Linked DNA regions of Sus scrofa. The protein of the gene in region 2 interacts with the protein of the main gene of each other region in a pairwise test. Links are inferred from orthologs where the notes say so. Each region holds a gene or a part of one and is shown on either strand. Other genes may lie near its edges.

The links.
Region 1: the proteins of SREBF2 (region 2) and SP1 interact in binary tests that used the Homo sapiens proteins (3 or more experiments, as listed by UniProt). The link is inferred for Sus scrofa from reciprocal best matches to the Homo sapiens genes SREBF2 and SP1.

Annotation. Positions count from the first base shown.
Region 1 is NC_010447.5:18,587,247-18,591,150, reverse strand, and holds the start of SP1 (transcription factor Sp1), read right to left. Parts: upstream 2,389-3,904; 5' UTR 2,211-2,388; coding exon 2,204-2,210; intron 1,702-2,203; exon of another isoform or gene 1,300-1,701; intron 1,124-1,299; coding exon 969-1,123; intron 636-968; coding exon 1-635. UniProt on the Homo sapiens protein: Transcription factor that can activate or repress transcription in response to physiological and pathological stimuli.
Region 2 is NC_010447.5:6,743,162-6,746,965, reverse strand, and holds part of SREBF2 (sterol regulatory element-binding protein 2), read left to right. Parts: intron 1-780; coding exon 781-962; intron 963-2,166; coding exon 2,167-2,443; intron 2,444-3,804.

The DNA.
Region 1 (3,904 bases), about 12 Mb from region 2:
AAGGTAATATTACCATTCAGGGCCACTGGTACATTGGTCACATACTGAGTCTGTCCTGAGAGTACATTATTAGCTAGGCCTTGGAGGGGGACAGCCTGCTGGAGTAGGTTTGGCATAGCAGCAATGATGTTGCCTCCACTTCCTCGATTTGTGATGATCTGTTGGTTTGCACCTGGTATGATCTGTATCTGACCTGAACCATCCTGCTGTACTTGGGCCCCAGTGGCAGCAAACTGCAGCTGTTGCCCATCAACCGTCTGGAACTGTGGGATTACTTGATACTGAATATTAGGCATCACTCCAGGCAGTCCTGTTAGGACTTGCTGGTTCTGCAGGTTGGATGTGGCAGCCACGACATACTGCCCACCAGAGACAGTGCGATTCTTGGAAGACTCACCACCATTGTTGCCATTGGTACTGCTGCCACTTTGTTCCTTCGAGGTAGGGGTAGCCCCAGAGGAGGAAGAGATGATCTGCCAGCCATTGGCACTCTGGGAGAGCTGTGTGGCTGTGAGGTCAAGCTCACCTGTGCTCCCGGACTGGCCTGGGCCCTGGGAGTTGTTACTGTTTTCATTGGGTGACTCAATTCTGCTGCAGGTTGCTGCCAGCAGAGCCAAAGGGGATGGCTGGGACTCCTGGCCAAAAATAAGGGAGAGGAAAGAGATTAGTTTAGTGACACCAGCTGCCAGCCCTGGGGGCAGTAGAAAAAAATAAACAGTAAAAAAAACCCAAAATAAATAAATAAACAGCAAAACAGTGCCCCCCCCAAGCAAACAAAAAGCCAACCTATCTACACTGCTGAAATTTGAAATTCTCATCTTTGGGGATCTCCAAGTCACTTGTCTCTGTACTTACTTCCCTATCTGTAAATTAGCCCTTTCCTAAAAATTTTTTTGTGAAAAGACAATCATCTAAGAATATCTACATCCTCTCAACACGATGCCCACTCTGTCCAGATGATCACCTACCTGCCCTCCTCCTCCTCCACCGCTGCTGCTACTGCCTGTGCTGCTGCTTCGAGCCTGAGAAAAGGCACCACCATTACCACTGCCCCCATTATTGCCACCAACTCCTTTTTCAATCTTCACCACAGCTGTCATTTCATCCATGGAGTGATCTTGGTCTAAAAAGAATTAAAAGATAACTTAAAGTTGGGGAAAGAAAAAAGATAAAATGAAGAAGGGTAAGGAAGACTAGGACCAAACAAAAATGACTAACAGGAAGGTGAAAGTCCCAGTATTTAAACAAACAAACAAAAAAGGATTGGGGAAGAAGAGACAGCTGTAGGGCTAGGAAGACCTGAACTGGGCCCCTTGGTGCCAAAACTGGGCCGCAGTTCTCCCTCGTACAAAATTAAACTCAGAAAACAATGAAAAGGTGCTTTTGGTATAGACAATGTAAGGGTCCGTGGACATGTTGAAGGAGTTTAAAAGTATCCTGCGGGGAAAAAAAGGAGAAATATAGATAAGGCATAAAACATGTGGGTGGATGGAAAGCTTGCTCAAATTAGGGTCAAAGGAGATGGAGAAAGGGAAGAATTCAAGTGTAGAAAGTCACAAGAGGAAAGGAAGGGGAAGGAGAAAAGATGAGATAAAAAGTTTTGTAGGGGGGAACATTTGTGAATACTAGAAAGGGGCTAAAGAGGTCCAGGGGTTAGAAATCAGGAGTTTCGGGGCGGACAGAGGGCGGGCCCTAGAAGGAAAGGGCGGTTTCGGGGTGAGGGGCGTGGAAAGGGCGGGACGGTAGGGGGAGGGGTAATCTACGGGGGGGAGGGGTAACCTTCGGGGGGTGGGGGGAGGAGGGCCTTGGGGCCGGCGGCGACCAGAGGGCGGACCAGGGAGGCGGTTGGCCCGGGCGGGGCCTGCACTGCTCGGGCCGCCCCCGCGGCTCCAGCCCCCGGCAGGAGGAGCCTCAGGCGGGCGGCCGAGTAGTGGGGGGTAAGGCCCGTCCCCCGTGGCTGGGGCGGGCAGGGGGCGGGCGAGGCCACGCTGCCCCCTCCCCCGGGGCGGGCGGCCCATCCCCCTCCTCCTCCGAGGCCCCGCCACTGCCCCTTCTCCCTCCCTTCCCTCCGCCCCGGGCGGGACCAAGGCCGCCGCCGCCGCCTCCCGCCCGCCCCCCTCACGGCGGGGACCGCCCGGTCGGCCCTCGCGCGCGCCCCCTCACTCCCCTCCCACCCCTAAGCTTGGAGTGGACTCATCCTTACCGCTCATGGTGGCAGCTGAGGGACGAGCTCAAGGGGGTCCTGTCCGGGGGGGTTGGGGGGGCCAGGAAAAACGCGGACGCTGACGAGGCAAGCGAACCCGGACCGGACAGGGAGGGGGGGGTAAAGAGGAGGGAGCAGCGCGCCACAAGCCCGGCCTAGGCCCCGCCCCTCCACTGCTGCCCCGCCCAATAAGGGAGGGTGAAAGGAGGGACTTGCAAAAGAAAGACAGGCAAATTACCCAATGGCGAGACTCGTTTGCTCTCTAAGGCGTGTAAGACAAAGTTGCGTGCGTGGTGTCCGCCCAAAAAGGGCGCCCTCTCAGTTTTAAAAGCCAATGAAAGGTGCAGGAAGTGAAGATAGGCGGGATTTAGAGATGATAGGCTTGGAGAGAAACCAGTCAACTGCCAGGCGGGCTCGCTGAGACGTAGGGATAGGAAGGGTTTTCATTGGAATGACAGAACAGCGACCAACCAAAACCCTGGGCAAGCCTGGGCAAAGTCCTGGTGGGAGGTGGTAAAAAGTAGACAGGAATGGGATAGGATGAAGCTTATCAAAACCAATCAGAAATCAGGCGGGCGGCCAGGAAAATTATGATTGGATTAACACTGAAAAGAGACGCGCTAGGACACAAATTGACGTGAATAAAAGCCAATTGAATGCTGCTTAAACTGTGAGGGCGGGAACCTGGAGTAGGCAGGGGAGAATTGGCGGCTGCTTCAGTCACTCAGCCCAATGAGGCAGCGAGGGAAGCCAGGCACCGCCTCCGGCTTGGCCAATGGGCGTTACTAGAGGCGCCAGTTGTCGGGGAGGTAACAGGGCTGTGCCAAGAGGAGTCCGTCGCCATTTTGGCCCTCCTCTGGGGACGTCTTTACCGTGATTAGGTGGCAAGGCTTCAGCAGAGCCCTGCAATTCAACAAGTGTCAGGGCCGAGCCCCGCGGCGCGTCGCATTTCTTCCTCGACATCAGGGCTTGTTTGAGTCTTCACTTAACCGCTTTTAAAAGTACCTCTCAGGTCTCCCCCCTCCGCGGTGGGCGGACTGGCAGGCGGATGCCTCAGAATATGGTGTAACCCCTGTGGGTGCTGGCGCAAGGAGATCTGGCGAGGGCGCTCATACAGTAGGTTAATAACGCACTGACCAATTTGCAAGGTCTTTGTGAGACTCCAGCAAACGCCATTTTACTAAATTCCCCCAAAGTTGATAGCTACTTAAGGCCGGTTAACTCTTCGAGAGCTTGCTTTTGAGGCTAAAGAGTGTTGGAGGACTTCCTGGAGTTCGAGGTCCTGTAAGCTGCTACCCCACCCCCGCCCCTGCCTCTACCCCGTAATTGTAAATAACGTTTAAACATAAAGCAAGTAGCCAGATAGAGTGCCTGCTTTTTGCAACTGCAAAGGTTAGAGGTGATTTTTCCCGAAACACCTGAATTTCTGGCTACTCATTCTGCCTCTCCTTTACCCTAGTTTTGGTGGAGGCAGCCTGCGTGGCCTGTCAATAACATAAAGCCATTCTCTTTCGCCCTTGTAGGTTCTATGTTGCCACTTCATTATCTACAACTCGGCACTTCTCCATATTACTATCATGTCTTAAAGTATGGATTCCCGAAAACTGAGGCCTCTACTGCTTTGGGCAAAGCCTGAAGAAGGTGAATGTTGGAATTCCCATTGTGGCTCAGTGGGTTATGAAACTGACTAGGAGCCATGGG
Region 2 (3,804 bases):
GCTCGTCCTCCAGGCCCAGGGGGTGTTGGTGGTGCTTCCTCATCCACTCACCTCTGAGAAGGGCCGGCAGAAGTAGCATTTTGAAAGTAATAGGGCAGGAGTTCCCATCGTGGCGCAGTGGAAACGAATCCCACTAGGAACCATGACATTGCGGGTTCCATCCCTGGCCTCGCTCAGTGCGTTAAGGATCCAGCATTGCCGTGAGCTGTGGTGTAGGTCGCAGACACGGCTTGGATCCTGCGTTGCTGTGGTGTAGGCCGGCAGCTGTAGCTTTGACTAGACCCCTAGCCTGGGACCCACCATATGCCGTAGGTGTGGCCCTAAAATGTCAAAAAAAAAAAAAAAAAAAAAAAAAAAAAGGCAAACCCAAGGTCAGTCAGAAAGAGCAGAGGAAATCAGGGCCCCGCACTACCACAGTTGTGGGGGCCAGGGGTGGGCCTTTTGAGGGAGGATGTGCTCTTACTGCCGGAGTCGTTATGCCAGTGGCCTAAGCCCACCTTGTTTAACCTTCGTGAAGCTCTTCTCCATGGTGACGAGGGCTGCTGGGTTCCCACTTAGGTTCTAGAGCTGTCCCACATTTGCCTGTGGTGTGGATTAAGGTGCCCTAAGCACTTAGACACTGTTGGTAAATGTAGCAGTCTTGACATCTGCCCTTTTTCTGGAAATGAGGTAGGAGTCTCTTTGCTCTCATGCTGCCGGGGTTGGTCACGTGCCCTGCAGGCTCCCAGGGCCGCTTCAGGGGGCCCTTCCTCAGGGCTCAGCGGGGATGCTCCTCCTTAGGTTCTGGGGGCTGGTTTGACTGGATGGTGCCCACGCTGCTCTTGTGGCTGGTAAATGGTGTGATCGTCCTGAGCGTCTTTGTGAAGCTGCTGGTCCACGGGGAGCCAGTGATCCGGCCACATTCGCGCTCCTCAGTCACCTTCTGGAGGCACCGGAAGCAGGCAGACCTGGACCTCGCCCGGGTGAGTTCTGCGGCCCCCTTTCCCCAGCCTCCCCCGGGCTCGGTCCTTAACTCAGCAGCATGTGTCCTGTACCCCAGTGCATAAAAGTACTCCAGGGGACCCAGGGGGGGAAGGGACCCCGCCCCAGCAGTCAGGGCAGTGGAGGCCAGGGCGCCGGGGGAAGCCATCCCTGGACGGGAGGTGATCTCCAGTCTGGTATGACAGGGAGCCCACGAAGTGTGGTGGGAGCTTGGGCACAAGAGATGAGCGTTGGCTGAAGGAATCTGGGGCTTGGGCCGAGCCGTCACGGGCAGAAAGGACCTTCCCGGTGGCGAGGAGGGCTTGGGGACTGGCGAGTAGACGGTACAACCGGTGTGTAGGATGTGTTGGGGGTGGGGGAGGCTAAGCTTATAGTGGAGCCAGGGCCCGAGTCAATGAGGTGTTTGTTCAGTAACTGATTTGGGGCTTTTTCTCCAGTTCTCTGGAGAATCAAGAAAGTTTTTGAGCAGGAAAATTAGCTGAAAGTGTTCTTCTGAAATCAACAAAGGAGTTTTGGGGAAGGATTTGGGGCAATTCACAGCACTGGAGGAAGACTTAAACATCCATGTCTCTGGAGGAACAAGAACCAGGACAGCCCTCAGCAGCAGCAGCCACGGGCTTGCTCTCCTGCCGCAAGCTGCATTACCCACAAGAGAATCTGACCAGCCAGCCCGTCTGTTCCACAGCCCCGGAACTGTGGGCCGTGTCCGGGGCTGTGGCTGCAAAATGTAGATGTGGTTGTTGGGGGTCTACCCCTTAGAGCAGGGTGATTCCCCAAGAAAGGCGTCCCCAGATGTACCTCCTCGAGGCAGGTGCAGGCCTGTGTTTGACAGATGCCTTCTGGTGCTGTGTGAAGGGATGGGGAGATACAGTGCACAGAGCGAGGGGGGGGGCTCCTAGAAGAGATCGGGTGGCAGGTGGCCAGGACCTGGAATTCATGAATTCAAGAAAGACTTGAGATGTAAAATGGAAGGAAAGTGGCTGTGACAGTGACTCAGAGATGGGGGAGGCTGGAAGCAGTGGTGGCTCCCTCTGGACATGCTGAGAGGGCACTGAGGGTGAGAAGGCCCTGGACCGGGGTGACTCAGGCAGGTCGGGGGCAGATCAGGAATTTGTATTTCTAACAAGCAGAATGAAAAGGCCGCCTCGAGGCCAGCGAACGTTGCACCTTCTTGCTGTTTGCTAGGGGGATTTTGCAGCTGCCGCTGCAAACCTGCAAACCTGCCTGTCGGTGCTGGGCCGGGCACTGCCCACCTCCCGCCTGGACCTGGCCTGCAGCCTCTCCTGGAACGTGATTCGCTACAGCCTGCAGAAGCTGCGCCTGGTACGCTGGCTGCTCAAGAAGGTCTTCCAGCACCGGCGGGCCACCCCAGCCACCTCGGCAGGCTTTGAGGATGAAGCCAAGAGCAGCGCCCGGGATGCAGCCCTGGCCTATCACAGGCTGCACCAGCTGCACATCACAGGTGAGGGTGGCCAGCCTTGCCCAGCCTGCCTCGAGGTGCCACCTGCCATCTCCCCACCTGGCTTGGTTTGCTAGTTTTCTGCCCCAGTTGAATGAAGTCGCCTTTACACTGTTCATTTAAGATGATTAGACAGACCTTCCACCCACAGCCGTGGCTGCAAAGATTGTAGTTCGTCAGTTTAAGAGGCACGTTTTTTCCCAGTAACAATGTCTACACTTGGCTGTGTCCTCTACGCATAGAATGTCACGGTGGAGTTGGCAGTGTTTTTCCCTTGGTGGTACTTAAATTAATGGTGAAACTTAAAATTGATGCCATCTTAGATTCAATGAAATATGATCATTTATTCCCTCGACATACTCCTGCTACGGTAGAGAAGCAGACAGGTCAGCAAGTGAATGCCAGTTCATTGTGGTAGAGGCAGCAGAAGGTTTGGGTTGCAGTCGGGAGGGAAAGGGTACTTGTTGGGGCGGCTTTCAGGAAAGGCTTTCTGGAAAGTCTTGATGTGTATGGAAGAAGGAGTGCAGAGTTCACCAGCTCTGCACAGGCGCGTGTGCCTTCCACGCAGAAGGATGTTCCCAAGGAGGAGCCCCACCTGGGTGGCTCTTGGGAAGAATGGTCCCCAAGTGGGCTGTGCAAGGGGAGGGCGATGGGAGCCGCACGGGGAAGGGCATGGCGGCTTCAGATCGGTGCCCCTGGAGCTGTGAAGTTTCCCTCGGACGGAGAGGGTTAAGACCAGCTTTGGGGAGGCCTCGTAGAAGCTAATGCTGAGACGGTTTCCTGGTTTCTCGAGAGAGTTTGGGTGAATGGTGTTGCCACCACAAAGGCGAGGAAAACAGGAAGCAGGTGAGGAGTTCTGCTTGGGGCACTTGCCTGCGAGACACTGGGGGGCGGGGGGGCGGGGGGGTGCCGAATCCGCCATCCAAGAAAAGGAGCGGGTCTGTGGCCTGCAGGTGGGATGAAAACCAGGGGAGCTTGTGGTGAAAGGGGGTCCCTCGAGAAGGAGACCTGCATGGGAAGGACAGGCAGGGGACAGGGAGTTGGGCAGAAGCTGCCCGAGAGGGGACAGTTGGAGCAGTCAGGCTTGGTGTAGGGGGAGCAAAGTCAGAGAGAGTTCAGGACGGGAGGTTCCTGAGGGGCCCTGTGATAGGATGAGGGCAGAGGGCAGCAGGGCACGGGGTCACGGGAAGGGGATGGGAGGCCTGGTGGCTGAGGGAGCTCCCGCTTGGAAGTGGGGTGGTGCCAGGCCCCAGGGTGAACGGGAGACAGAGACGGGCCAGCGGAGGTGCCCCGTCTGCAGATCTTGCCTGCGTCTCTCTCCTGTCGGGGCCCCTGGGGGAGGAACAAGCCCTGTCCCAGGCCTC